4 linked regions of the Pelodiscus sinensis genome follow. The main gene of each other region encodes a partner of the protein of the gene in region 4 in a complex. Links are inferred from orthologs where the notes say so. Each region holds a gene or a part of one and is shown on either strand. Other genes may lie near its edges.

Region 1 (7,992 bases), about 180 Mb from region 4:
GAGCTGAGGTTTAATAGGTCATCAGTTCTTTGCAGGGAACTTGCAGGAGGTTTCTGCTCACTTTGCACTGACTGAGCATGATGGGAACACAATAGGTCCCAGCATCTCCCCCAAAGAATTGATTGTGTCCCCCTGACCTTTCGGAGCATGTAAATCTCTCAGTCTAACAAGGCTGCACAGTGCTGGCCTACCACCACACTCACACATGGACAACCCAACAGAATCTCCACACCACTCTCTGCAGCATAGTGCCCTGGTGAGGAGCTTTTACCAGGTAAAGATTCTTGAGCTTTGGCAGGTGCAGCCCTGCTGTGGTCTCTAGCCTGTTTCCTCGCAACTCCAGCGTGTGCAGGTCTGTCAGTTTCCCTGGATCCAGACCTGATATCACTTGGATTTCATTCCCTGAGTGACAGGAGAAACAAAAGGGTTAATTCCTCCAGTGTCCCATTTCCAGCACACAGTAAGGAACACTTTGTGGTGAGGGCTGGTACACACCCACCTTTAAGGCTGAGGCTGCCCAGACGTGGGTGGGTAATGCCCTCTGTGTCCTTGATACGATTGTGAGCAAAACTGGCAATCTGCAGGTAGGGCAGCTCTGGCAGGCAGGGACTGGTCAGCCGATTCCCATCCACCTTCAGCCACAGCAGGTGGATGAGGCTGCCCAGAGGAGACAGATCTCGCAGCAGGTTCTCTGACAAATCCACATAACGTAAGTGAATGTAGTTCTGGAGAAGGCTGATATCTGTCAGATCCCTGCCATAGGATGAGGATGTAAGACAAACATCCAATTTTCTTCCTCCTTTCTCTTTTCTCCGAGAGCTGGTCTCCACTCCTCTGCAGCTTACCTATATCTGATCTTGAGAAGTTTCTCTGGGTATGATGGAGGAGGGAGAAGGCAGACTGTGGAGTGAGCCAAGGGGTTTGAAACAAAGCCCCGAGGGACCCCTACTTGGAGTCCCTTCCCAGCTGAAAAAGGAGCTGTCAAGAGGGGGCAGAAACTAAGGGGAGGAAACCATAGAAGCTATGAAGAAATAAGTCCATCAAATAGTGGTCCTAGCATTGAGGGCTGGGTGGGGGAAAGAGAGAGACTGGGAAGGACCAGGCTGCAGTGCCAGGAGGTTGGAATACACAATTAGTGACAGGGCTGGTCCTGGAGGCAGGCAAGCAGGGCAGTGCCCTGGGTGCCAACTTCCACAAACCCCCTGAGTGTCTGCCAACGTGGGATTAAGTTCACAGGGATATGAGTTCCAAAAACTTGCAAGAGTGTTTTCCCCATGACATATATGGGTCCATGGTTAGCAGCAACTGGTGGGTGAGGAAGGGAGACACTTGAGTTGGCTGCTGATTTTGGGGTGGTGACAGTCACTTGAATAGCCCCAAGAGTCAACGCAAAGAGCATAGCTCTGGGGGTGGGGGGTGCTGTCAGCCTCCCTACTACACATCAGGAAAGAGCTGCTGAGAGCGTTTCGTGGAGCATCCAACTAACTATCCACCTGTCCTGTCTACCCAGTCACCATGCCCATCTGGATATAATACTGGTGTTCTCAATAATGTATCTGAGCATCAGCCTCACTCTACTAGTCAGAGCTGGCTAACTGTGGGAAGGTCTCCACCATCATGTCCTATCAGCTGCAATCTGGGAGCCCAACCAGACAGACAGGGCCACAGAAATGCTTTAATGACCCAACAAGCTGATCTCCAGTTGGCCAGTCATTTCCTGATGCCAAATTTGACTTGGAAGAGCAGCAAGAGGCCTATGTGGATATTGGGGGGGGGGGGGGGAAGCAAACACAGGGAGGAAGGAGGGCCACTAACAAAGTGACAGTCCCAAAGCCCATTTCCCTTTGGATCATCCCAGAATACAGTCAGAGGTAATCCAAGGTATGATCTGTGCAGGATATTGAGTGGGATGCCCCACTAATCATGATAGCCCAAACAGAAATAAGCCCTCGCTAGTAGGTACTGCAATCCATTCCTCCATTAAACATTATTCCAGAATTTCTCCCCTGGCTGCCCCACATCTTCCTAAAAAGGGTGCTTCAGGAAAGGTGTTGGCTTCTGTCCTGCTGCCAGTGGTTGGGGAGGAGGATTTGACTGTGAATGTTTCCACACTCACTTTTCCTTTGCCTCTAGTTTCACATAGGCATGAGCCAAGCCGTTGCCTGTTTTACACAAGAGGGAGAGGCCTTCCTTCATTATCTCCTCTGTCAGAAGGCGGGGAGTCAAGCTCTGAGAGAGGATGAGCAAAGGAAAGAGACAGAAACAAACAGTCAGTAGAGAAAACATCACAGAAAATAAGGCAGGGTCAGACTCTCAGCTCACCCCTAACATCCATGACCCCCTACACATTCCCTCCCTTCATGCTCAGGCTCCTTTCCAGGTCAGCCTTCCTTACCTCCTCCTCCTCCTCTGTTGGCTCCTTCTCTTCCTCCCCCTCCTCCCCCTCCTTTTCCGGTTCGTTGGCATTGTAGTCGTCCTCAAACTCCTCATTCGACATCTTCCCGGACTAGAAAAAGCCCTGCTAGGAGAGAACGTAATTCTGGCCAGAGAGGCCGGACAGTCCCAGTGTGTCAGCAGCGAGGAGATCCCTGCCCTCCCGCCGTACCTCTGGCTGCAGTGCGGCCTGCGCCGACGGCCCCTTGGCGGAGCTCAGTGTCTGCACGCTGAGGCACAGCCCTGTCCGGCTGAGGACCCAGCACCTGGCTGCACGCAGAGGCCTGGGAGACCTCTGCCAGCGGGGGCCAGAGGGGCTCGGTGCCTAGGGGAGAAGCCCCGTGTCCCATTCGCCACCCAGTGCCAGCAAGGGCCCAGCGCCTGGGCCTGGGCTGGCACCAGGGCCCCAAACCTGCCCCCCAATCTCCACGGGGGGGGGGACTGACCCCAGCTCTGAGCTGCTCCACGAGCCTGCAGCCTGAAGGGGGGGTTGTTTACTGCTGCTATGGAAACCCCGAAGATGAATGGGTGGGAACTGTTGCTAGGTTCTGCTGCCATGGCAACACTTGGTGACTGACAAGTCCCAGTAGGCAGAGTTCTTAGGAAACTGGCAGGAGCCAGACTGGGGAGAGACTCGGAAGCTTGTTTGCAGCCGCTTGATAGGAGCAGGCGGTGCGTGATTTGCATGAAAGGAGGGGTCCTTTGAGAACGCGCCGCGGAGGGGAGGGGCCAATGGGCGCTATTATGACATCATTGCGCTGCAAAGGCAGCGCGGCAGGCGGTCACTGTTCGGCGCAGGCGCATGGGCTGTTCTGCGGGTGAGAGGCGCGGAGTGGGTGTGGCTGCGCCCGTAGGCCCCTGCAGTGACGTTGTCGGTGCCTGTCAGTTACGCTTTGCCCTGGCGCCCGGGCCATGTGGAACCGCGCGTGCTGGCACTAGCGGTGCAGCTGCAGCCCTGCGTGAGGCGCTTCCACCCTGCACCGTCTCTGCAGCTGGGTTCAGTGGCTCTCTGCTCCCACCACCGTACAGATTGTGCCAGCGCCGCTGTTTTGAACCCACACTGAGAAACGGTCAGGTTCAGCCTTGCTGGGTGTCAGTGGCTGGCCAGCCACCGCCAGAGTGTAGCTAGTCCCCACATTCGAGGTGCTGGTCCCACGATTGCTAATGTACACTTGTATGTCACGGCCTAACATTCCTCTTACAGAAGCTGTGACTCTCCCATTCTGCCCATTGAGATCAGGCTGATTCAATGTGCCTCTAAACCCCTAGCTCATGTCACCTAAGAATTGCACCGTGACCAGAGAGCAAGGCTACGTCTACACTACAGGCTTCTTGTGCAAGAACTGTTTTGCGAAAGAGTTCTTGGGTGAAAGATCTTCCACAAGAGCAAATCCACAGTGCCATGTGCTTTTGTGCAAGAGTGTCCATGGCAGTGTGGACGTTCTCTTGCACAAGAAAGCTCTGATGCCATTTTAGCCATCAGGGCTTCTTGTGCAAGAAATGTTTGTTGCCTGTCTACACTGCCCTCTTTTGGAAGAGCTTTTGCACAAGAGGGCTTATTCCTCCTCAGGAGAGAAATAACTTTTCCGGAAGAAGCCCTGTTTTCCGCCGCTATACTGTAAATTTACTTGCGCAAGAACACGTGTGCAATGTAGACAGCTGGCAAGTTTTTGCACAAGAACAGCTGTTCTTGCACAAGAAGCATGCAATGTAGACACATCCCATGTGTGAAACATCGGGACAGGGAATAGGGGGGTAAGAGGTGCCTAGATAAGCCAAGCACTCAAATATTGGGACTGTCCTTGTAAAATCAGAACCTCTGGTCACCCCTAACATATACCCAGTTTGCTCCTGCTACCACTTTGCACAGGATCACTTGACTTTGCTGGTCAACAAGATCTGCCACATTCCCCTTCTCTTTGCCCCACAGTTTCTTTGTTCCACTGTTCCAGACTCATGGTTCCTTGAGGGCTCTCCCCATTTAAGTTCTCTGCCTGTTTAATTTGCCCAGTCCTAAGCTCACTTCCTTTGCCTCCATTATCATGGTCCCCTCCCTCCTTAATTTCTCTTTTCTGGTACCTCCTCTCTTAATGCAAGCCTGCTCCTCTTCCCCAATCTCAAACAGCCACCCCTTCCTACTCTTCTGCTACACTAGTTACTGTCCCTAACTTTGTCTTTCCTCTTTTCACACTCTTTCAACCACCATCTTACCTTGCTGGCTCAGAAATCAACCTCACTGATCCCAGGCTGTCTCCCTGACTTTGTGTCCTATGGGGGAAATGGATTAGATGATATTTAATGGAGCTTCTCCATCTCTTGGGCAAACTCCTGGAGCATCCATAGGGAACAAACCTGCCTGGAGTCACTTCTCTCTGACTTTGCCAGACTGGCTCTATACCAGGAATTGAAGGGACTCATCTCACTAATTCTCCAATTACCCACAGTCATTATTCTCATGTCATCAGGGGATTTCTACATAGGGCATTCCAGACCCTTTGTAATCTATCGCATGCTTTGCCTCATCCCCTCTAACTCCTGCAGAAAATCCTGGAAATGCCTTATTAGACATGCTCTTGCATTACATTTCTATTGGTAAAAATAATCTGGAAAACTGGTTCTGGACAAAAAAAGGGGGGTTGCTTTTTCTTCCTCACCACTTCCCCTTTTTCACTGATGGGGGTTTTGTTTGTGTTTTGTGGGTATTGGGTTTTGTTTGAGTTTAATTTTTTTCCAGCCTGACTTTCACAATAGTAATTCAGGTCTTGTCTACTTGGTTCTTCCTGGAAGACTCTATGAAGGACTGGAGAATGTGAATTCTTATGAGTTTGGATTAAGAGGAGAAAGGTCTTTCCTTGTATATCATCTAACAATATAAAATGTCTACCAAATTGTTTAAAGAAAACCTCTTTTTGTTAAAAACCCAACACCACTCCATGACCTGTGCAGAGAACTTCCATTCCATGTATCTGTGGCCTCTATGGCACTGGTTGGCAAAAAGTAAGGAAGATGAGATTTGCCATTCCCGATAGTTCTCCAGTTAAGAAATAAGCAGAGTCCCACCCACTCAAAAAAGTCCTTTCAGGACTCTCTGTTCTCCATAAAGAAGCAAATGATTGGCACAAATTCCATGTACTTTTTCCCTTATCATCTTGAACCTTCATGGGCTTTTGCTCAACTCTTCGTCTGGCAGTGCTGAGCAAAAGAGAAGGAGCAGGAGACCAACAGATCAGAGTCTTATCTTGCTCTGATCCCTGCCCGAGATGCACCTTGTTCTAAGAGTGGCAAAGAAATCAAAAGGTCATGGCAATACACAACTCCTCTTGAGCAGTGTTTCTTAAACTTTTTAAAACCGAGGAAGATGATCTTCCAATTTTTTTATGAGGAACACCAAGGATTTTTTTTGTTGAGCAAAAAGAAAAGAAAAAGGGTGTGTGTGGGGGGGTGGGGAAGGGGAGTAACTGAGAAAAAAAAGCTCCTGCCTCTTTAAGGGTGGCCATTTTGAACTCTGTTGTTCTCCAAGGCACACTGGTGTTCCCCAGAATACAGTTTAAGAAACACTGCTCTTGAGTATTCCAGGATCTCTTCTCTCACTGTTTACATAGCCCCCACTGCCTCATCCCTACCAGGGAACAGTCCCCCAGTCTTGTCAGAGATGGGCATTATTCTGCTTTCTTCTCATGGAAAATCTGTAGATCTTGCAGTTTATGATTTTTCCTTGAAATACCCAAACCCTGAACACACATCACAACCATATTTCCCAGGGAAGGTGGTTTTTGCCACACTGAATTTTAGCTCCCCCCTTCATGTGATAATGCTTGTGATTTCTTTCATTATGAAATTGTAGCTAAATCATTTAAATTTGGGACCACAAACCCTACTTTGTGTTAATCATATTTGCTGTTTGGTATCACAAGGCAGACCTGTGTATTTTAGTGATAGCATCTCATAGTTTCTTAATATATTTAGCTTGAAGATTAACCTGACCTTTGAATTTCCTTGTTTGCAATGCCTGATTTGGGGATAATTACACCATCTCTTAAACATAATTTACCCTAAATTACTCGTCTATGCTTTCAGCCATAACTCCATTTCAACTTAGATTTTTCCTGCAGTTCTTTATTGGAGTTGTCATTTTTCTCTCCAGAAAGACTGTTAATTGGCTTGGCAGCTAGAGGAATAAAACTTCTTCAGCATTTCGCCCCCCTTTACCCCCCCAGTTTCTCTCTTGGCCCAGCTGTGGTGTGCAGAGATAAAGGGCCCACACCTGCAAGCTACCAAATGCCATCAGTTCCCATTAAAGACAGTGGGAGTCGAAGATACCCAGTGTCCCTGGGATGCATTTCCGAAGAGTTCTGCAAGCAAAGCCATTTCCTTTGTAGGAGTCAAGCAAGCAAAGTGCAAAGGGAAGGCCCGGCCAGCTGGGCGAAGCTGACTGTCTAATGCAGTGTTGTTCCCTGTGAAACCTGGAGCCTTGTTGCTTCTGGAATTGTGTGTTTTGATTGATCTGGAGCGTTACACCGAAATTCATGTTCAGGCCCTGAGCAGCCATGTGGAAAGGCAAGGGCACAATGCTCCTAGGTAGACATCACAAACAGGGCTCAGGTACTGCCTCAGTGTTGGTTCATGCTGGAGGGGAAGCTGAAGAGCTGAATGCCGGGAGGCCAACACTGGATCACCAGAGGGTATGAGTCAGATGCTCCATGCTTTGTGGCAGAGGGGGATGGGTGTTGAATATATGAAATGTGCTTGCATTTCTACTTATTGGTCAGCTGAGGGCGCTCTAAGTCAGGCAGTCAGCAGCCAGGTTAGGTCAAGCCTGGCGAGCCTAGAAAATGGGGAGAGAATATAAAGATGCAGCCTGTGGATGTCCAGCATTCCCAGCCCCACTGAGAGGGCTGGAGTACAGGACCTGTGTCTCCCACCTGGCACCACAGGGCCCTAACCCCCTATTAGTGGGAGATCCAGTTTCTTAGGGAGTAAGGGACCAGAACAGGGAATGGAACCTGGATGCCCTTCACAACAGGACAATGACAGCCTCAGGGCTGGGCCAAACCACGGTAGCACTCCCCACCCGCCAGGCAAGAGCCTGGGACAAGGAATGGAACCAGGATTTCTTGAGTTCTGGGCATAAATGCCCCCTTGTCCAGTGGGGCAGCAGTGGAGGGAAGCTCGTGGACGTGTGTCAAACCCTTGAAGAGATAAGTAGATACCCTTTGTGGAAACGCAGGTGGCGGCAAGAGGAGTCAGAAGAGGGTGAAGGAGCATGCAGAAGTTTCACATCTGTCTTCACTCACAGAACTGACTCCTATTCCAAGATGGGGCTTCCTTCCAGCTCTGCTAAAGCTCCCAGCCCAACCCTGCAGCGGCAGATGCAGCTAGTGACTCCTCTTAACATAATGGTGCCTTGCAAATTCAGAGACAAGTTCATTCCATGGGCCTTTTATGAGGGCTTACGTACACTACAGGTTATGCTGTATAACTTACTAACAGATTTACCTGGCATTGCTCAGGTCTTTAATTCAAGTAAGGGTTTTTGTATTTTGAAAAGTATAAGGAAAA
Region 2 (7,160 bases), on a different chromosome or scaffold from region 4:
CCCGCGCTTCTGAGGCTTTGCTCTGACAAAGCCTCAGAAGCGCGGGAACCCGCCCGGTGCCCCTGGTCTGCTGGAGACGGTCTCCAGCAGACCAGGGGCACCGGAGCAGCTTACGAACGGGGCTTTCTCGCCCCGGAGCTCACAGGTAGCAATCCGCCACCTCGACCTCCGGGGCGAGAAAGCCCCGTTCGTAAGTGCGGATCCGACATAAGTCGGATCCGCGTAAGTCGGGGACTGCCTGTAAAATATTTTGTGTATGCAATAGGGATGCAAAATCTTGTTTAATTAGTTAAATATTAAGTTTAGCCGGTAAACCAATTAAATGGGGTGGGCGGGGGAAGCGGTTTCCTCGCTGCGGTCAGAGCCTGCTCCGGCTGAGTTGGAGCAGATTCCTGAGGGCTGCTCCAGCTGCCACCAGTTAACCACTGACATCCCTTAATACATAACCAAAACATAGAATATAATTCTGCTCCATTTATTTCACAATATAATTTCCATGAAGCAGAATAGGTTAAGCCTCTATAAACCGGATTTCCCTCATCCAGCAACATCTGTAATCCAGCATCCATGAGTGGTCCGGGATCGGAGCACTCACGGGGAACAGCCGGAGGCCCTGCACTCAGCAACTCCTCTCCCTTCCTCTCAGAGCTTGCAGAGTGCCACAAATAGCCCACTTGCAGTGTTTAAGCTCAGAGATGAAAAGGAAGGTGTGGAGATGGGGGGCACTCAGGGAAAGGTACAGGATGGGTGTGGTGCCCCATGGCCAGAGGTGCAGGCACACAGGGGCCAGGAGCGCAGACCAGCAGCTGCAGGAATCCGATGCTGGCCACAGGCACCACACTCTCCCTGACTCTTCTACCAAGCACTCCCCATTCCCACTCCCTCCATGCTGGCCCCTCTGCTGCCATCATAAAAGAACCCAACAGACTGTGGCAGCAGAGGGTCTGCAATTGACATCTCCTGGTCCGGCACCAGTCAGGTCCTGAAGGTGCTGAACCAGGGATGTTCAAGCTACAGTTGCTTAACACAGTTTAACTTCAGTAAATATTCACTTATCTCTAGTTACAATAGTACATGATCACTACAGTGTTCCTTATAGTGCTCTATTCTATTAGTTCTAATGAACAGTCTCAATTAGCTATTTCCTGTCTTTAATTACACACAACTTCACTGAATTAAATGCTCATTCAAAAGGAATCTAGAAGCTACATAGAATTTAAATCATTTCTGTGTGTGATCAATTTTAAAAAAACAGATCTTATCTAAAGGCAAGTAACGCACATGAAGCAAGAACTAGGTTCCTGACACAAGTGGGATCAGAAAAATCATAAGCTTTTCCTTCCTTTTGATCTCTTACAGATACCCCTTTGCTATGGTCTCTTAAATTCAGACCATACTTTCTGGCACACTGGCAATATACCAGTGTTTTGTCACAATGCACCTCCACAAAATGCACATCTGAACCCACTTACCTCCTGAAGGTTCTATACTTTCCACTCACCTCAAAGGATTCCTCAGCCAACTCTTCAAATATATTTACATTCTTTGCATGGTTTTTTCACTTTTGATTTTGGGATGCTTGATTTTCTTGTTTAAACCATTTCTACAACAAAAGAACAGTTAGGAATGAGATATCTATAAATGTCATAAAGGGCTATATATATGGGCATATGTCTCACCCCTACCATACATGAGACTAAAAATATCTTGACTCAGAATGTACTTTTTGTTTATGTATTCTGTGCAAGCATTTGCATGATCAGAACCTTTTATACTACTTCTTACTATACTGCTTCTCACTTGTGTACAGACCCCGACTGATTTTTCTGTGGGTCAGCAACCCCTGAGCCAAAAAGGTTCCCCACCTCTGCTGTAAGCTAAGTGTTCAGATGCCGCCACCCTCCCACCCCCGCCGCTCAGCAAAGATTCAAATGCCACCCATCTGATTGGCAGACTACCTATAGCTGGCAGCATGTTTTTTTCTGCTGTTCCTGCATATCTGCACATGCCTTTGTGCACATAAAATTTATTCTGCACATGGATGGAAAACATTAAAGAGAGCATTGGCTGAGTGTGTATTCTGATTTGCAATGTATGTAGCAGCACTCCCAAGTGACAAGTCAGACTCTTGACAAGCAGCCAACAGAGCTGGTGCTATCCAGCTTGAACATCCTGGGGTTTCGAATAGGCCCCCACAGACGACTGGAAATAGTTGCAGGCTCCAGAGACGGCTCTGACCATTTGGCCCAGCTTATTCCTCCTCCCCTCCTGGAGCCCAGGCCTCTCTGCCCCCACCGCAGGGAGCATCCCTCTCCAGCTGCTGCAGACATGGCTAAGATTGCCAAAGGGATGCACACTCGGATGCGAAATCCCAGCCCGCCCGCCAGCCGGTTAAACGTTAAACCTCCGGGCTCGCCCGGTTAAACGCCTGGCGCGAAATCCGGGCTGGAGCAGCCCCCAGCCCCGCACTGGGGCTGGCTCCCAGCCTGTGGGGGCGCGGCCAGCCCCGTCTGCGGCAGCTGGGCCCCGGGTGCCTAAGCTTTGCTGCGGACACGAAGACCCCCGTGGGGGTGAGGGGCGGCCGCTGGGAGACGCGGTCAGGGACTACGGCCGGCACGGCTCCCGGTGGGCCTCGCCGAGAGGGCAGAGCCGCCCTTCACCACACCGAGCGGAGGCTCCCTGGGGCGAAGCCCAGCCGGGAGAGACGCGGCCCGAGCCCCGGCGCTTCCCCGCTGCCGCCTGGGAGCCCTACGGGGTGGCCGAGCAGCAGCGCAGCTCAGGCCCGCGAACCGCCACGACGCCCAACGGTCCGCGGCGCGCGCCCACGGGGGGGGGGCTCAACCGTCGGAGGGCGGGGGGGGGACGCGCCGACCTTTGCTCCGACGCTTCGCGCAGCCTCAACCAGCACGCCCTCCTCTAGGCGCGAGCCCGGGAGCGTCCCGTCGCTAGGCAGCCGTCCGCGTGGCCCGGGCGGGAGGGTTGGTGGCGGAGCTGGCGCTGGGGGCTGTCACGTGAGTAAGGTGGCAGCGTTAACCCCCCGGGCTGCCTGAGGGCAGCTCGCGCCTGGGGTCTCGAAGCGCAGCCCCGCCCTGCCAGCCCGGGGACATAGGCCTGACCCGTGCGCCAGGGGGCGAGCGATCGTCACACGAGACAAACCGCTGCCGCTTCCACCCGCGTAACGTGAGCGTCGGGCCAGCGCCCCCCGCGTGGAGGGCGAATGCCTCGATCTGTTGATGGCGCGGGCCCAAGAACCCAGCAACTGGACAGCTGGGGCAGGGATGTAAACGGGTAACCAGTTACCTGGTAAGCACCACCCTTACTGGGTGCAGGTAACTGGTTAACCAGCGCCCCGCGCACGCCGGTAACTGGTTAACTGGCACACGCAGGTAACGGGTTAACAGGTTAAACAGAATCTTGCATTCCTTGTTGGAGCGCCAGAATGCCAGACTGAGGGTACGTCTACACGGCAACACTATTTCCTAATAACTGAGTCCGTGTCTACGTAGCAGGCAGGTATTTCAAAATAGTGTCAAAATACTGTCAAGCTGGAGGACTACGCTGACCCTCGTTGGAGGAGGAATAAGGGAACTCGGAGGAAGAGTGCTCTATTTTTTAAATAAGTGCTGTGTAGATGCTCCCTATTTTGAAATAAGCTATTTGGAAATAAGCTACGCAGTTGAGGTAGACACCAGAGTTGTCAAGTATCAGAGGGGTAGCCGTGTTAGTCTGAATCTGCAAAAGCGACGAGGAGTCCTGTGGCACCTTATAGACTAACTGAAGTGTAGGAGCATAAGCGTGGGCAAAGACCCACTTCGTCAGATGCATGAAGTGGAAATTTCCAGAGGCAGGAATAAATATGCAGGCCAGGATCAGGCTGGAGATGACGAGGTGGATCCAATCAAGGAGGATGAGGCCCACTTCTAGCAGCTGATCTGGAGGTGTGAATTCCAAGAGAGCAGAAGCTGCTTTTGTAGTTAGCGAGCCATTCACAGTCTTTGTTTAATCCAGAGCTGATTGTGTCAAACTTAAAGATGAACTGTAGCTCAGCAGAATACTGATAGAAATGTAGCCCTGTTAGTCTGGGGTAGTTGAAGCAAAATGCAGGACAATGTAGCACTTTAAAGACTAACAAGATGGTTTATTAGATGATGAGCTTTCGTGGGCCAGACCCACTTCCTCAGATCAAATAGTGGAAGAAAGTAGTCACAACCATATATACCAAAGGATGCAATTAAAAAAATGAACAAATATGAAAAGGACAAATCACATTGCAGAACAGAAGGGGGATGCGGAGGGGGGGGGAGGGGGAGGAAGGAAGGTAAGTGTCTGTGAATTGATGATATTAAAGGTAGGGAGAGTGGGATGTTTGTGAGTTAATGGTATTACAGGTGATAATTGGGGAAACTGTCTTGGTAATGGGTGAGATAGTTCAAATTCTTGTTAAGTCCTTGTTGGCAAGTGTCGACTTGTAGCTCAGCAGTTTCTCTTTGAAGTCTGGTCCTGAAGTTTTTTTGCTGCAGGATGGCTACTTTTAGATCTGCAATTGTGTGTCCAGGAAGATTGAAGTGTTCCAGAGTTGTCGACTCGAGTCTCACGACTTGAACTCGAGTCCGACTTAAGTCACCTAGATGACTTGACTTGAGACTCGACTAAGGTTCATGGTTTGTGACTTAACTTGCTAATTTTGTTGAAGCGACTTGGTGAAAAAAATGTCCGAAAATGCCGCTGTTCTGATGCGCCCAGAGCGTCCAACGCATCCTCACCTCCCAGCTGGGATTCCCAGGCTGGGAGGCGGGGCCGCGATCGCTGCTCTTGGCGCATCAGAAGCCTGGTGGGGGTGGGGGAAGTAGCTAAGAGTCCCAGCCACTCTTCCCACCCCCACCAGGCTTCTGCGCAGTCACAGGCTCCTAGCGCCGATCATGGCCCCGCCTTCCAGCTGCTCCTCCCGCCCACGCAGGCTTCTGTCCGGTGCGCAGCCGGAAAAATCAGAAAATACCGGACACCTGGCAACCATAAGTATTTCAATGACGTAAACAATTATTATATTCATGAAGATGCGAGATTTCAGAGTTGTAAAAAATGAATTGATAAAAATATCCCATTTACTTGTCAACAGTATGCTACATTGTTGTGGGTTACTTTTCTTTCAAAACGATGCAATACATGGTGAATGTGTTTCATTTTTTTTCATTGTTTTGAACGCATCTAGGCGCAATTTCTGGCTTTAACGTAGAGCTACGACAACAACAATGCGAAAATAGTTTATTGGCTTGGGATTTGTGAAAATTTTATTGATTGTGTGTTTGTTTATGAAATTTTACATTAATATGCCATTTTTGAAATTTCATAGTGAACAAACAAAATTAAAATAATCAAAAAGTTAATATCCGTCTGTGAAGAATGAGGAAGAAAAATCAAAATGTCCTAAACTTTGTTTTTTTCGGTCAAATCAATAAATCCAGAGAAAACACGATCAGCGAAGTGCAAATTATGTGGGGTTGTAATCACTGATGGCATTGCAACAACTTCCAATTTTTTGCGCCTTATAAAAACCCATCCGCGAAAGCACAGTGAGTACGAAAAATATCTGCGACAAACCACAATTGATCCCGCCTCACCGTGTAAAATATCGGATTTCATTTATAAAGCATGATAATCAAGGTGTTTATGGAATAAATCATCCTAAACAAAGAAGAATAGTCAGTTCTTTGGTTATAGAACTGATAATTGGTTGCTTACTACCACTTTCAATAGCAGAAAAACCACAGTTCAGGCGATTTTGTCATGTGTTGGATCCCCAGTCACAAGAAATAAGTCGGTCTTTGGTTATGACATAACTGGACAATTTGTACCATAATGTGAAAGCTGATGTGTTGGCACTTCTTACTGAGGTGGACACAATTGCACTGACGCTCGACATCTGGTCAGATAGAAGAATGAGAGGCTTTTGGGGAGTAACAGCCCACATGATAATAAGGTACGCGCTCGTGACAAATTGTTGTCATGTGAAAGGTTCCTTGGCCAGCATACTGGTGAGAACATTGCAGAAGTGTTTGAGAACATATGTGATTCTTATAAAATAAAGGATAAAATTAGATATGTTATAACAGACAATGCTGCGGACATGCGTAAAGCATTCATCATAGCATTTAACAACCATGAATCAGAGCAGCAAATTGATATGCAAGATGACACTTTGGAAAATGAAGAATTATGTGAAGACTTAAACCCAGAAGTCGTTACATCGGTCATCCATCATGTAAACTCAAGTGGACCTCGAATTAAGAGACACAGTTGCTTTGCTTATACTCTGCAACTCACTGACCATGGTCTCAAGGAGGCGAAGTTATATGGTGCCCAGGCAAAAGTGTCAAAAATCTGCAGCCTTCTTCACACAAGTACTCTGTTCAAGGAAACCTTTGAAAGAAGGTTTGGTCTTCAAGCTTGTATTCCCCAAACCAATGCTACCAGGTAGAACAGTACTCTTATGCTGTGTCTACATTGGCGTGATTTCGTGCAAAAGCGGCCGCTTTTGTGCAAAAACTTGCTGCCTATCTACACTGGCTGCGAGTTCTTGCGCAAGTACACTGACGTTCTAATGTATGAAATCAGTGCTTCTTGCACAAGAACTCTGATGCTCCCGCTCAGGAATAAGCCCTCTTGCACAACTGTTCTTGTGCAAGAGGCCAGTGTAGACAGGCAATATGAATTTCTTGTGCAAGAAAGCCCTATGTTTAAAATGGCCATCAGAGCTTTCTTGTGCAAGAGAGCGTCTACACTGGCATGGACGCTCTTGCGCAAAAGCACATCTCTTGCGCAAAGGCACATGCCAGTGTAGACGCTCTCTTCTAGAAGAGTTTTTGCACAAGAACTCTTCCGCAAAAGGGTTCTTGCGCAAGATCATGCCAGTGTAGATGTAGCCTCAGACAAATAAATGTTTTTTAGTCCCTGGATGAAGAAAAGCAGAAACACATGCTTGAAGAACAAAACCAGTATAATTTAAAACCCAGCCAGAGGGATTATTCCCAGCTAAGGGTATGTCTACACTACCACCCTAGTTCGAACTAGGGTTGTAATGTAGGCAACCAGAGTTGCAAATGAAGCCCGGGATTTGAATTTCCCGGGCTTCATTTGCATATTGCCGGGCGCCGCCATTTTTA
Region 3 (7,351 bases), on a different chromosome or scaffold from region 4:
CGTTCTCGGTCAATGGGAGTTCCAGGAAGCTGTGTCCTAGCTCACACCACTTCCTGCAGCTCCCATTGGCCAGGAATAGCAATCCACAGCCAATGGGAGTTGCAAGCAGCAACACCTGTGGACGTGAAGGTAAATAAAGCAATGGTGGCCAGCCAGGGGTTAACTCTAGCGAACCACCTTTGTCTCCTGGGTTATTTATGGCCGACCCCTGCTTTAGACTGCTATGATGCTTTGAGGTCACCAAGAAATCCAATTTTAGGTCTTGAAATAATAAAAAGAGTCATTAGACTAAAAGAAACAAATGCAAATATTTTTGAGTGGTCATTTTAACTCATGGATAATGTGTCATTATTTATCCCCATTCTATAGTAATGGTGTAATGGCCACAGGCAGAACCAAACCTGGGACCTCTGGAGCTCTACAGCAGGAGTGGAGACCCATGGCCCAGGGGCCAGATGCGGTCCCTGACTTGCCTGGATATGGCCCCCGGGGCTCAGGGCTCCTCCCCCACAGAATTGGGGAGCCCGCACTGGCACTCCAACCACCGCTGCCTCCTGCCTGATTTTTCTGTGGATCAGCAGCCCCTGACCCTAAAAAGGCTCCCCACCTCTGCTCTACCGCTTGAGCTAAAAGCCAGCTGGCTCTCTGCTAACACTGTAGAAGAAATTCACAAGTCCCTAAGTGCCACTACATGGGAGAGTATGCCGTGCCCAGTAGGTGTGTGGGTTACATAGGCACACTTGACAGTTCCACATCATTCCTCATTTTAGACATAAGCTTTCAAATGATGTATGATGTGCATTTGTGTGTAGAAAAGAGTACATTAAGTAAACCAAATTGGTGGTGTTTGCATCTTGCTTATCAGACCATAAACAAACTTCAAATCAGTGTTCAGAATGATGAAAAGTGAAGCTTCCATTTCATGCATCTGACAAACTGAGCTACAGCTCATGAAAGCTTATGCCCTAATAAATGTTTTTAAGATGCCACAGGATTACTCAGTGTTCAGAACCTTATTTTATGTACAGCATATTACCTGAACAATGGTGAATCCTGATCTGAGAATTATATCTTCTATTTCTTCTTCTTTGTCAATTACATCTGGTTTGATGAGGGCCAGAGTTCTTTCTACATAAATCTGAGGCTCAGGCATTAGCGCTTGCATCTTTGTGTCACGATTAAAATTCAAGTGCTTCTCCCTTACTGCAAAGACAAGATTTTGCGCAAATACTCTTTAACGCAAGAGTTTTTGCGTTAGAGTATTTGAGTAAGAGAGCGTCTACACTGGCATGTGCCTTTGCGCAAAAGATGTGCTTTTGCGCAAGAGCATCCGTGCCAGTGTAGATGCTCTCTTGCGCAAGAAAGCTCCGACGGCCATTTTAAACATTGGGCTTTCTTGCACAAGAAATTGATGTTGCCTGTCTACACTGGCCTCTTGCGCAAGAACAGTTGTGCAAAAGGGCTTATCCCTGAGCAGGAGTGTCAGAGTATTTGCGCAAGAAGCACTGATTTTATACATTAGAATGTCAGTGTTCTTGCGCAAGTACTTGCGGCCAGTGTAGACAGGTGGCAAGATTTTGCGCTGCGCAAAATCTTGCCACTGTAGACATAGCACCCGAGACAAATGAGAGGCTTACTCCCTAGAAATGAATCTTAACAGGAGAATATTTCATTTATGTGAGATACTACTGTGGTATCTGTGCAGAAAATAGCTGGTTCTTATTTCAAACCATTCCATTCTTTAACACTTGGCTATCACTGGAGAAGAAGCAAATTAAGGGCCCACTCCTGCAGTTTTAGTGCTCCCTTTGGAACAGTGTCTATGCAAAACACGTAGGATTGGACCTCCATCAGCATGGGAACCTACCAGCATAGGAACATCCAAGCTTCCTCCCACTCATCTGGCCTGACAACAGGGTAGGCTTAGCTGGGGAGCTGGCAGTGTTCCCTATAAGCTGTGTGTGGTGCGGCTACTTAAGAGAGATTCCGATGCTGCCCAGATGATTAGAAGAGCGCCCACAGCTAGGTTTGTGTTTTTCTTAGGGATGTCAGGGGTTAACTGGTAAGCATCACACTTACCAGGTGATGCTTACTAGTTACCGGTTACCCAGTGGCCTAGCTGTGCTGGCGCACCAGCTCCGTCTGCCTGCACCGCAGCACAGTGGGCCTGGCCACGCTGGAGCATCCTCTGCCCGTGAGATCCCATTTAAGCAATTAACTGATTAAACGGGATTTTATATCCCTAGTTTCTATGGGTGGTGCACATTAGAGATGCGAAAAGTTAACTGGTTATCTAGTTAACCAGTGGGGGATGGAGCAGCTCCCAATCTGCTGTGGGCAGGAGGTTTCTCCAGCCCCACAAGGGCCCACCGCAGAGAGGGGCTGCTCTGCTCCGGTCCAGGGCGGGTCTGGGCACCCTGCAGGCAGGGTCTGGTGCAGCCTCTTGTCTGCGGGGAGCCTGGCCTGTTGTATGGGGGCTGGGGGCAGGAGCCCCGCGGGCTGGGCGCTGCACCCAGATCCCGGTTAGTCGGCTCACTGGTTAACCGTTAGGTTAACCCAACATTTAACCAGTTAACTGCTCGACCGGGATTTTCCATCCCCAGCGTCTGTGGGTGGTGCACATTCGCCCATGCCTCGGGGCACATACAATTATTCTGCACACGGGCAGAAAAGTGCAAAGGGAACGCAGGAGCCAGGTGAGCCGGGCCCACCCCGCGGTGGCGCTGACCCCCCCCCCCAAGTGGCTCGAGCAGCGCCGCCCCCCGCTGGGTGAGCCCCCCGCGCGGGCCGCGTCCACAGGGAGCCCCAGGAAGAGCCAGCCATTACCCCGCCGCCATCCCCCTCGGCCCCACGCACCTTCCGCCCAGCGGCTCCGGCCCCAGCGACGGTTGCTAGGAGACCCGAGGCAGCAGGCGAAGGAGCCGCCCCCTACGGCGTGGGGCACGGTCCGTGTCAGGCGCGCGTTTCGTTACTCAGAGCCGTGGAACACGGCGCGCGCTGCTCTTGGGGGCATCAGCGCTGGTGGAGCGCGAGCCCCTAGTCCCTCCCCCCGCTCCCCTTCTGCACTGCCCTGCCCGCTCCTTGTTCTGGGGGCGCGCTCCCAGCCTGAGTCGCTCCGTTGGTCACGTGCAGAATCCAGATTTGGGGCAAAGCCCGACGTGCTGCACCCTGGAATGCTTCATTTAGGACAGGGCTGCACCAGCCTGCCCCGTCCCAGCTGCCTCTGAGCTGGCTGCATCAGTTATGAATGTAACAATGTGATTGAACCCTGGCACCTCTTTCGTTCCAAATTAAGCCGTGCCAGGTGCCAAGCACTGACCAGCAAGCTGGCCAGTAGGGTTGCCAGATGGTTTCAACAAAAAATACCGGACACGCTTGACATTACATCACAATCGACATTACATCTTATTTAGAAAATACTGGACATTTCTGTTTTCTCAGTTATATTTTCTCAATTTATTTCCCAAACAGAAAGCTCAAATACTGGACTGTCCAGTTCAAAACTGGACACCTGGCAACCCTACTGGCCAGGCCCAGGGCTCAGTTAGAAGGGGAATCTGGAGATTGAGTTGTGTGGGTCAGAGGCAGTTTAGATCTTTCTGTCTGGTGTGGAAGGGTTGTGGTGTGCGTCTGTAACAGATATAAGTTGCACGTCTCATTGATTTGACATCTGGCATACTTGAGGTCTTCACAGGAGTCATACGCACAATGAATTATGTATACAGGCAGTCCCCGGGTTACGGGTTACGTACAAGATAGGGACTGTAGGTTTGTTCTTAAGCTGAATCTGTATGTAAGTCGGAACTGGCGTCCAGATTCAGCCACTGCTGAAACTGATCAGTTTCAACAGCGGCTGAATCTGGACGCCAGTTCTGACTTACATACAGATTCAACTTAAGAACCCCAGGCATCCCCAAGTCAGCTGCTGCTGAAACTGATCAGCGGCTGATTCCAGGAAGCCCGGGGCAGGGGCTTCCTGTAGTCAGCCACTGGTCAGTGGCTTCCTGTAGTCAGCCACTGGTCAGTTTCAGCTGCGGCTGACTTGGGGATGCCTGGGGCAGAGCAGCTGGGGTGCTGCTGGGTTGGTCCAGTAGCGCCACCGCTCCTCGGCGCTACTGGACCAACCCAGCAGCACCCCAGCTGCTCTGCCCCAGGCGTCCTGATTCAGCCGCTGCTGAATCTGACCAGCAGTGGCTGAATCAGGAGCCTGGGGCAGAACAGCTGGGGTGCTGCCCGGTTGGTCCAGTAGCGCCCAGAGCGGCGCTACGGGACCAACTGGCAGCGCCCCAGCTGCTGTACCACAGGTGTCTGAAGCAAAGCCACGGAGCACGGGGGCAGCGGGACAGCCCAGACGCGCAGTGGCTGTCCGCTGCCCGCGTGCTCCGCGGCTTTGCTCTGCTTTGCTCCCCCCCCCCCTCCTGGTCTGCAGACCAGGGGGAAGGGGGGGGGGCAAAGCAGAGCCAAGCCGCGGAGCGCGCTGCCAGCTGCCAGCCCAGACGCGTCTGGGCTGTCAGCCGATCGTGCGCTCCGCGGCTTGGCTCTGCTTTGCCCCCCCCCCCGTCCCCCTGGTCTGCAGACCAGGGGGACGGGGGGGGGCAAAGCAGAGCCAAGCCGCGGAGCGCCCGGCCAGCTGCCAGCCCAGACGTGTCTGGGCTGTCAGCTGATCGCGCGCTCCGCGGCTTGGCTCTGCTTTGCTCTGCTTTGCCTCCCCCCCCTCCCCCTGGTCTGCAGACCAGGGGGACGGGGGGGGGCAAAGCAGAGCCAAGCCCCGGAGCGCCCGGCCAGCTGACAGCCCAGACGCGTCTGGGCTGTCAGCTGATCGCGCGCTCCGCGGCTTGGCTCTGCTTGGCTCTGCTTTGCCCCCCCTCCTCCCTCTGGTCTGCAGACCAGAGGGAGGGGGGGGGCAAAGCAGAGCCAAGCCTCGGAGCGCGTGGGCAGCGGACAGCCCTGTCCGCTGCCCACGTGTTCCGCCGCTTTGCTTCCTCTCCCTGGTCTGCTGGAGACCAGGGAGAGGAACCCCGTTCGTAACTGCGGATCCGACGTAAGTCGGATCCGCGTAACTCGGGGAGTGCCTGTATAGCACCTCTGAGCTGGAGGGATCCCCAAATACTTTACTTTACTAACCCTAACGCTGGTCCTAGAACTTCAGTTGAATGCAGACTGGCTAAAATCAATGAGAATTCAGCATGCAGAGCACTTGCTAATTCATAAGTATTTCCAGTAGCCCTGTAGTGCATCCTTATTTGGAAAGAGGATGGTAGTCATGTGGCACACAACAGAGTAGAGAAGGGAAATTGTAACAATTGTTTGTGTACAATAGGATGGGTACAATCAGCAGGGCAGGCCTTAGGGAAAATGGTGCCCTGGGTGAACTTGTGTTTTGGGGTGCCTGTGGGCATGGCACTCACCCATTTCCCTTGGGGGCATGGTACCCCCCATTTACACTAGCACTCGTGGGAAGCCCCAGCCTGGGCACATTTAGGCACTTTGCCCCCACCTCTGCATAGTGCTGCTTTCACCCCAAACCCTAGCACTTCTCTCTTGGCAGCACCCCCAGCTCTAGCCCTGTACTGCTAATGTGCCCTGCCCAGTACTCCCCACTCCTTTCCATGCTTAGCAATCCCCATCCCCAGTAGCTCCTCACCCAGAGATCTCCACCAGTTACCTGAGCCCACTACCCTCCCCCCCAGATCCTTTTTCCCCTGACCCCCGCTGCCCTGCTTTCCTCTCTCATCCCCCTCTACAAATGCAAATTTTATTTGTCAATAGATGTGAGAGAACACCCTGAAACCTACCTTTCCCCCATTGTTGACAGGGACGGATATAGGGCAGGGCGAATGGGGCGGCCGCCCCGGGCCCCGCGCATGCGCCGTGGCGCCACCGCGCTTGCGCATGGCGTTACTGCACATGCGCCGTGGCAAAGGGAGGGGCCCCGCGGAATTATGCTGCCCGGGGCCCCGCAAAACGGTCATCTGCCCCTGATTGTTGACTCACATTGTCAACATTTCATGGCCACCTTGCTTTGCTCTATCTGTGGACAAGGTGCTAGCAATGTGGGTAAGCATACCACAGTGCAGTGTTGTGGGAAGGCAGAGCTGATCCCTGCATTTCTTGGGATTCCCTCACAGCTCTGTGAGCTCTCTTTGCCGAGGAATGTCAAAGCAGCACAGCAGTCTCTCCACCCCTCCCCCCGCAGCAGCAGTCCACCTACTGCTGTGTTCCTAGCAGGGCAGAACAGGAGCATTCCAATTTTTGTTAGTTCCCTAAAGGGAGCAGCTGACTCAGCTGTCAGATACTTCCCAAAGCTTTGAAAGGGGTGGGTCACATGCCTGGAGGGCAGTAGAGATCACAAAACACTGAGCAAAGCCATCAGGGCAGGTATCATGGGATACCAGAGAAAGCTAGTTCTCTGGACAAAACAAATAGGCTACGTCTACACTGGCGCGTTCTCACGCAAAAACTCTTTTGCGGAAGAGTTCTTCTGCAAAAACTCTTCCAGAAGAGAGCATCTACACTGGCATGTGCTTTTGTGCAAGAGCATCCATGCAAGTGTAGACGCTCTCTCTTGCACAAGAAAGCTCTGATGGCCATTTTAACCATAGGGCTTTCTTGTGCAAGAAATTCATGTTGCCTGTCTACACTGGCCTCTTCTGGAAGAGCTCTTGCGCAAGAGGGCTTATTCCTGAGTGGGAGCATCAGAGTTCTCATACAAGAAGCCCTGATTTTAAACATTAGAACGTCAGTTTACTTGCACAAGAACACACGGCCAGTGTAGACAGGCAGCAAGTTTTTGCGCAAGAGCGGCTGCTTTTGCACAAGATCGCGCCAGTGTAGACCCAGCCATAGAGTCCACACTGGCTATTTGATGACAATAAAGGGAGAGGAAAAGTGTCTCGCAAGGGTGGAAGTTTGTCACCAAAACTGGGTGTTTTTTCCAACAAAAGTTGCATTCCAGTGTAAACGCTCTCACTGTTTTGTCAAAGGCAGCTTTTGGTAACAAAATGTGCCAGTGTAGACAAGGCTAGAATAGGGGTTTGGCAGTGAGATACTTCTGTGTTCAAGGCAAAGGCCACAGGGAAGCATTTTACATGATGGCTTGGATATCAGCTGTAACCCAAAATATATTTGAATGACAAAAAGAAATAGCAGATACCAAAAGCTGAGTCTAGCCCTCATTCAGGCATTTGCCTGCCACAACTTTGGGCCATCACCTTCCAACTGAGTTTTAATTCTTCCTAAAATAGAACATTTCCCTCTAAGCCTGGAAAGAGAAGAGGTGCTTGGGATACGAAATTTAATAAGGAAAAGAACCTATACTTGATTTGCACATGCATTCTTTAAAAAGTCCAGT
Region 4 (7,527 bases):
TTTTGGGGTACATCTACACTGGACCTGCAGGTGTAATTTCCAGCTTGAGCAGATATACCTGCACTAGCTTACTAGAGTAGCTGCAGTGGTGCAAATGGGTGGATGGGACTAGCCAACTTGAGTATGTACTTAGCATCTCCTTCCACTTCCTGTGGCTACATTTAGAGCTAGCATGGGCATGTCTGCTCGAGCTGGAAATTACATCTTCTAGCTCAAGAGTAGACACACCTTTAGAGAACATGTCCCCAGCAAGTAGATGACAAGTGACATAATAGGGATAGTATTAATCAGTGTTTCATTAACTTCCTAATATTTCATATTCCTCTGTCATCAGTTCCCGGTACCCTTCCAATACCACTGACTCTTCCATGAGATATCCCAACCTTCCGAGAGTCTGTTTGGCCAAACTGGCACCCCACAACTCCTATTCAAAGGCTCGAATACAAAACCATTCCTATATACGCCCACCTGCATCTGTTTGTAGTTATGGGAATGTCGGATCTTGCAAGCAGTTCTGTATTCCTTCTCTATTTTGATTTTTTCCCCCTAGGTGATGGAACCTGTTTTATTATTCAGCAAGATCTTGATCACGTAATTGACCTCACAGAAGCAGATTGTGACCCTGTATACAAGGTAATGGCTAAGTCTGCTTATCATTGACCTGAGTAACAGCAAGGGGGAAATAAAGGTGCCACCCTGCCATGGCTGCCATTGTCTGGTGATTTGGCAACCAACAGAGCTGTCACCTTTCTGAAAAGTCAATTTTTTAAATTAATTTTTGTATTTGAATAATTTAACTCTTTACAAAAACAAATCCTTTGGTCACCTGGCTAAGGAGCAGTAGCGTAATTTCGCCTCTCTCAAATGGGAAAACTGAGGCGGGGGTTAAGTAACTTGTCCATTGTCAGAGAGCTCTGATTACAACTTGGGAGCCTCTACTTCTGCATTCAGGCCTGTCTGTTTTAAAGGGCAATTCTGTTTAGAAAAGTGGTGCCATTTTTACAGAAATCCTTACTTAGCTGAGCTGCCCACTGTTCATATTCTGAATCACATCAGCTGATTTCAGAAACTGAGTTTTTGCTGCCCTTTATTTCCATAAACCCCACTGAGCTAACACAGCTGTTGGAGAGGGTGCTGGATTAGCATCCCGTTTCGTACAGCCATGGTACTGATGCTGCTGCTTAGGTCGTCTTGTAACAGGTTCCAGTTGCAATGCCATACCTTGCCATCTGTTGTAACAATACAGCACCTTGAAGGCAGTGTAGGCTAGCATACCTGAGTGCAGCATTTGGCCTGCAGACTTGTAATTGGTGGTGATGTGCGAGCAAAAGAAATCCATCTTCTCTCTTAGGGTCTGCCTACACTACAGAGGAGAACAAAGCTGCTGTTGTCAATCTTCTGGCGTTTTAATTAGTGGGTCTAGTTAAAACAGCTCATTTGAACTGAGAGGGGCGTACTGCTCGATGCTAGTAGTCCTGTTTTCAAGAGGAGTAAGGGAAGTCAAAGGGCGAGTGTTTTTTCCTTTGACTTCCTGCAGTGTAGACAGTGCCAAAAGCCGAGTTAAGGTACTTCAACTTCAGCTACGCAGTTAACATAGCTGAACTTGCATATCTTAATTCAACCTTTTCCTGTAGTAGAGACCCTCAGATCTGACAGAAAGTCTGTCCTGTAAATGGAGTGCGTTTGATCAGTCGTCTTTGAAACAATTTCAAACCCCAAGGACCTTGTGTCTAAAAGTTGTTGCTCACTGATTTATAAAGCACTTAGCTATCACACTGTAGACCCCAGGTGCTATTACACAGTCATCTTTATAATGGCAAAGCTGAAATAAAAACATGCATGCAAACCAAGAAACATGCTCAATAGTGCTGTTCAACAGGACTTACTAATGTATCCTCTTCCCTCATCCTCCAGTGAATCTTGAGGGGAAACTGCTGCATTTTCAGCTAGTTGTAGTGTTCTATGGCTAGTTTAAGAGCTAATACTTTTTCAAAGGTTGCTGATTTCTTCCTTTCCCATCTCATAAAATAAAAACATTTAAATGTTCCCATTTTTCTTCAGGCTTTTTCTCAGTTCAGAGCCCACTGCAATGTAGCATTTGGGGAAGTACATGAGCTCTTGTGAGTAGCAAACTACTCTGTCCATGGTGATACTGGTAGGATTTCTAATTAACACATGGAGATATCTTCCTTTTTGGACATCTAGGGACAATTATCGTTCCAAGAATGTTTGACATGACTTTGAAGCCATAACAGTCAAGGGAGATGTTAAAAGCCAGATATTGATACATTCACTGTATATTGCAGTAGCTCATAGCGGTTCCAGTCAAAGATCGGAGAGGCCTATTGTCCAGAAGGCTATCCAAACAATGAGGGTTGGAGGGAGTTCCCTGCCCAATATAGCTCTGTTTCCATTATGAGTTGTCAAGCAGCCCCAGCTGATCTTTCATCTTTCCAGTCGCCTGTTATTGTGATTTGTATGTCTCATGGGAGAGATTTGTTTAAAGGAGGGATTTAAGAGGATGGAAGTTTTTGGCCATATATATATAGGGTTGCACAGGAGAAACTACAAAGGCAGACGAAGATGATGTTCATGCAAGTGATTTTATTTTTAAATATTTTCATTTCCTTCTAGGTTGCTACATGGGAGAAACAGATTTATACATGCTGCAGAGATGGGGTGGTGAGGAGATACCAGCTTTCTGACCTCTGAGCATTTGAGGGTTATGGAAAACAGATAAATTCAGAACTAAGCTAAAGTCTGGCTAGGTTTGAACCTCGGCTACATAGCACTTCGAAATAAAAGTAATGCTAGCTTTCTGTGATTGTACGGTATATACGAAACGTGTGTATATATAAGCTGGGCGAACACTTATGATAAAAATCTAAGAACAAGACTGTACATGGAATTCTTGATCTGCTGCTTATTAAAACCAAAGTTCAGACAAGTCTCTTCCAGTAAGAAGCTTATAGAAGATGTTAGTGTAAGATCTTTTGTATATGCAATATATTTACACATTTAGTGAGCAATTTGGTATTTTGAAGAGAAGACTGATTTGGAGGCTGGAGAGAGAAGTCGTCTAAAAGTTACTGTACTGCAGAATTGATTGAAATAAAGGGATTGACTTTTGTTAACTTCTTGTGCATTTTCAAAGTTCGTGCATTTTCAAAATTGCTAATTTCAAAGCAAAACCACTCTGTCCATGCCATATTCAATTTTTCGTAATCTTTCTTGTGACTATCATGAATAACAAGTATGACTATTTTGTAAATGTAATGAGCAGCTACGATTTGATCTTAGATGAAATTTGAGATTTCAGTTTGATCTTCACTTAAATGAAATACATATGTTCTTAGGCAATTAAAATATATCCAATTGTAGTTAAAACCATTACAGCGAAGACCACATTAAAATTCCACCTGTTACTTTTAAATCAGTAATTGTATAGCTCATATATGGGGAAAATGTTTTTTTTTCCCTTATAGGCAGTCTGCCATTATTTGAAATCCTCTCTCAGCTATATGTACAATCCTGTGGACTCTGGTCTATCTACGCAATTTGTGTGCATGTATCTGTAAATTCCTGTGCTAGCTCATGATATCCAAGAGCAAACAGTGGGCTAAGATTCAGGAACTCCAGAAATCAAATTCAGCTGATTCACTGTGTGGCCTTGAACAAATCACTGAATATCTGTCTTGGTTTCCTCAGCTATAAAAAAGGGGTGAAATGCTACTGTCTTATGGACAATCAAAATTGTCATGAGAATTTAGCCTACATACAAAATTTTTCCTACTTTTCACTCCTTAAAATCTGTTAATAAAATCCACTAGACCCAGCTGAATTTATAATGGCTGAGATAATGTATATAAAGTACTTTGAAGACAAGTAACCATTTACTCTTAAATAACTAACATGGTGTATGCCATAGTGGATTGGCTTGTTAAACTGCAACAAGGCTCCATCCAATCTAGTTCACTATCCACTTGTAAGACTTTTGTCCTCCCTCCCTGTCATTGATAAGGTTACCATCACACCCACTGAACCACAAATGTGTGTGATGAGCTAGGCCGTGTTGGTGAATTAATGCACACTAGGGTTTGGTGCTATGCAGCTTTACTCCCTGCTGCAAGGAATGCCCTCTAAAGCAGATTTTCACTCCCTGCCCCAGTGGACCAGGCATGTGGAGGGCTCTGCTCTGCTGAAGCTGTGCAAGGGGAGAACTGATAAAAGGTGGCCCCACCCAGCAGGGTGGATGGAGGTGTGAGGGAAGGATCAGGGTTCAGCGCTGTTGTGGGACTTGGGGTGCAGTGTCCCATGGGGGGGAGGGGAGGCTCTGCAATGAGTCAGCTGGGCCACTGCCCCTAGGAGATGGGGGGGTGCTCAGTGGCTCCTTTATTCTCCCTAAGCTTGAAGCCCCTCCCCCGCACACCTCAGATTCTGGGGACAAGGGGACGGGGAGGAAGGGCCACACACGCCCTTGAGAAGCAAAGAAAAGGGGAGGGGTGTGTAGTCCGGAAGTGACGTATGCGCCCGGACGCGGGATGCGCGCGAGAACTACAACGACCACAATCCCCAGCGCGGCGGTGCCCATAGCAACGGGGACGCGGGACCGACAGCGCCGGCCGCCATGGGGCAGGATTACTACGTGGTGCTGGAGCTCAACCGCACCGCCAAGGACGCTGACATTAAAAAAGCGTAAGTGGCGGAGGGGGAGTTCGCCCCGCCCCCCACCTCACCTCTGCCAGGGGCCTGTCAGTGCCGGGGGGGGGGGGGGCACCTCTGCCAGGGGCCTGTCAGTGCCGGGGGGGGGGGGGCACCTCTGCCAGGGGCCTGTCAGTGCCGGGGGGGGGGGGGGCACCTCTGCCAGGGGCCTGTCAGTGCCGGGGGGGGGGGGCACCTCTGCCAGGGGCCTGTCAGTGCCGGGGGGGGGGGGCACCTCTGCCAGGGGCCTGTCAGTGCCGGGGGGGGGCACCTCTGCCAGGGGCCTGTCAGTGCCGGGGGGGGGGCACCTCTGCCAGGGGCCTGTCAGTGCCGGGGGGGGGCACCTCTGCCAGGGGCCTGTCAGTGCCGGGGGGGGGGCACCTCTGCCAGGGGCCTGTCAGTGCCGGGGGGGGGGCACCTCTGCCAGGGGCCTGTCAGTGCCGGGGGGGGCACCTCTGCCAGGGGCCTGTCAGTGCCGGGGGGGGGGCACCTCTGCCAGGGGCCTGTCAGTGCCGGGGGGGGGCACCTCTGCCAGGGGCCTGTCAGTGCCGGGGGGGGCACCTCTGCCAGGGGCCTGTCAGTGCCGGGGGGGGCACCTCTGCCAGGGGCCTGTCAGTGCCGGGGGGGGGCACCTCTGCCAGGGGCCTGTCAGTGCCGGGGGGGGCACCTCTGCCAGGGGCCTGTCAGTGCCGGGGGGGGGCACCTCTGCCAGGGGCCTGTCAGTGCCGGAGGGGGGGGCACCTCTGCCAGGGGCCTGTCAGTGCCGGGGGGGGGGGGCACCTCTGCCAGGGGCCTGTCAGTGCCGGGGGGGGGGGCACCTCTGCCAGGGGCCTGTCAGTGCCGGGGGGGGGGGGCACCTCTGCCAGGGGCCTGTCAGTGCCGGGGGGGGCACCTCTGCCAGGGGCCTGTCAGTGCCGGGGGGGGGCACCTCTGCCAGGGGCCTGTCAGTGCCGGGGGGGGGGCACCTCTGCCAGGGGCCTGTCAGTGCCGGGGGGGGGCACCTCTGCCAGGGGCCTGTCAGTGCCGGGGGGGGCACCTCTGCCAGGGGCCTGTCAGTGCCGGGGGGGGGCACCTCTGCCAGGGGCCTGTCAGTGCCGGGGGGGGGCACCTCTGCCAGGGGCCTGTCAGTGCCGGGGGGGGCACCTCTGCCAGGGGCCTGTCAGTGCCGGGGGGGGGCACCTCTGCCAGGGGCCTGTCAGTGCCGGGGGGGGGCACCTCTGCCAGGGGCCTGTCAGTGCCGGGGGGGGGCACCTCTGCCAGGGGCCTGTCAGTGCCGGGGGGGGGCACCTCTGCCAGGGGCCTGTCAGTGCCGGAGGGGGGGGCACCTCTGCCAGGGGCCTGTCAGTGCCGGGGGGGGGGGCACCTCTGCCAGGGGCCTGTCAGTGCCGGGGGGGGCACCTCTGCCAGGGGCCTGTCAGTGCCGGGGGGGGCACCTCTGCCAGGGGCCTGTCAGTGCCGGGGTGGGGGCACCTCTGCCAGGGGCCTGTCAGTGCCGGGGTGGGGGCACCTCTGCCAGGGGCCTGTCAGTGCCGGGGGGGGGGCACCTCTGCCAGGGGCCTGTCAGTGCCGGGGTGGGGGCACCTCTGCCAGGGGCCTGTCAGTGCCGGGGGGGGCACCTCTGCCACGGGCCTGTCAGTGCCGGGGGGGGCACCTCTGCCAGGGGCCTGTCAGTGCCGGGGGGGCACCTCTGCCACGGGCCTGTCAGTGCCGGGGGGGGGGGGCACCTCTGCCACGGGCCTGTCAGTGCCGGGGGGGGCACCTCTGCCACGGGCCTGTCAGTGCCGGGGTGGGGGCACCTCTGCCAGGGGCCTGTCAGTGCCGGGGGGGCACCTCTGCCAGGGGCCTGTCAGTGCCGGGGGGGGGGGGCACCTCTGCCACGGGCCTGTCAGTGCCGGGGGGGGCACCTCTGCCAGGGGCCTGTCAGTGCCGGGGGGGGCACCTCTGCCAGGGGCCTGTCAGTGCCGGGGGGGGCACCTCTGCCACGGGCCTGTCAGTGCCGGGGGGGGGGCACGTCTGCCAGGGGCCTGTCAGTGCCGGAGGGGGGGCACCTCTGCTACGGGCCTGTCAGTGCCGGAGGGGGGGCACCTCTGCCACGGGCCTGTCAGTGCCGGGGGGGGGCACGTCTGCCAGGGGCCTGTCAGTGCCGGGGGGGGGCACCTCTGCCACGGGCCTGTCAGTGCCGGGGGGGGGCACCTCTGCCACGGGCCGGCAGTGCCGGGGGGGGCACCTCTGCCAGGGGCCTGTCAGTGCCGGGGGGGGGGCACCTCTGCCACGGGCCTGTCAGTGCCGGGGGGGGGGGCACCTCTGCCAGGGGCCTGTCAGTGCCGGGGGGGGCACCTCTGCCACGGGCCTGTCAGTGCCGGGGGGGGGGGGCACCTCTGCCAGGGGCCTGTCAGTGCCGGGGGGGGGGCACCTCTGCCAGGGGCCTGTCAGTGCCGGGGGGGGGGGGCACCTCTGCCAGGGGCCTGTCAGTGCCGGGGGGGGGGGCACCTCTGCCAGGGGCCTGTCAGTGCCGGGGGGGGGCACCTCTGCCAGGGGCCTGTCAGTGCCGGGGGGGGGGGCACCTCTGCCACGGGCCTGTCAGTGCCGGGGGGGGGGGCACCTCTGCCAGGGGCCTGTCAGTGCCGGGGGGGGGGGCATCTCTGCCAGGGGCCTGTCAGTGCCGGGGGGGGGGGGCACCTCTGCCAGGAGCCTGTCAGTGCCGGGGGGGGGCACCTCTGCCAGGGGCCTGTCAGTGCCGGGGGGGGGCACCTCTGCCAGGGGCCTGTCAGTGCCGGGGGGGGGCACCTCTGCCAGGGGCCTGTCAGTGCCGGGGGGGGGGCACCT

What was found.
Region 1: DNAJB13 (region 4) and LRRC23 share a complex: the UniProt entries of both Homo sapiens proteins name them as parts of the axonemal radial spoke complex. The link is inferred for Pelodiscus sinensis from reciprocal best matches to the Homo sapiens genes DNAJB13 and LRRC23.
Region 2: DNAJB13 (region 4) and DYDC1 share a complex: the UniProt entries of both Homo sapiens proteins name them as parts of the axonemal radial spoke complex. The link is inferred for Pelodiscus sinensis from reciprocal best matches to the Homo sapiens genes DNAJB13 and DYDC1.
Region 3: the proteins of DNAJB13 (region 4) and NME5 are in contact, whole or in part, in a cryo-EM structure (PDB 8WZB), measured with the Mus musculus proteins. The link is inferred for Pelodiscus sinensis from reciprocal best matches to the Homo sapiens genes DNAJB13 and NME5. Residues at the interface, in NP_705755.2 of Mus musculus: Thr156, Lys157, Lys158, Thr181, Ile182, Asp183, Arg185, Trp188, Arg189, Gly191, Thr192, Arg193, Ile194, Thr195, Phe196, Glu197, Pro281; in NP_542368.2 of Mus musculus: Glu52, His53, Asn56, Met193, Lys199, Pro200, Lys201, Leu202, Cys203, His204, Phe205.

Annotation. Positions count from the first base shown.
Region 1 is NC_134711.1:138,219,372-138,227,363, forward strand, and holds the start of LRRC23 (leucine-rich repeat-containing protein 23), read right to left. Parts: upstream 3,004-7,992; 5' UTR 2,880-3,003; exon of another isoform or gene 2,519-2,879; 5' UTR 2,498-2,518; coding exon 2,396-2,497; intron 2,230-2,395; coding exon 2,117-2,229; intron 754-2,116; coding exon 500-753; intron 403-499; coding exon 272-402; intron 1-271. UniProt on the Homo sapiens protein: Essential for sperm motility and male fertility. Plays an important role in the proper assembly of the third radial spoke (RS3) head and the bridge structure between RS2 and RS3 in the sperm flagella.
Region 2 is NC_134718.1:14,158,274-14,165,433, forward strand, and holds the start of DYDC1 (DPY30 domain-containing protein 1), read right to left. Parts: upstream 3,012-7,160; 5' UTR 2,873-3,011; intron 2,858-2,872; exon of another isoform or gene 2,666-2,857; intron 1,604-2,665; 5' UTR 1,502-1,603; intron 1,410-1,501; exon of another isoform or gene 1,282-1,409; intron 1-1,281. UniProt on the Homo sapiens protein: Functions as part of axonemal radial spoke complexes that play an important part in the motility of sperm and cilia. Plays a crucial role during acrosome biogenesis.
Region 3 is NC_134727.1:32,340,261-32,347,611, forward strand, and holds the start of NME5 (nucleoside diphosphate kinase homolog 5), read right to left. Parts: upstream 3,010-7,351; 5' UTR 2,857-3,009; intron 1,204-2,856; 5' UTR 1,166-1,203; coding exon 1,037-1,165; intron 1-1,036. UniProt on the Homo sapiens protein: Functions as part of axonemal radial spoke complexes that play an important part in the motility of sperm and cilia. Does not seem to have nucleoside diphosphate kinase (NDPK) activity.
Region 4 is NC_134711.1:322,006,834-322,014,360, forward strand, and holds the start of DNAJB13 (dnaJ homolog subfamily B member 13), read left to right. Parts: upstream 1-4,526; 5' UTR 4,527-4,541; coding exon 4,542-4,695; intron 4,696-7,527. Other genes in the region: PAAF1 (proteasomal ATPase-associated factor 1), read left to right, coding at 551-633, 2,635-2,712. UniProt on the Homo sapiens protein: Functions as part of axonemal radial spoke complexes that play an important part in the motility of sperm and cilia.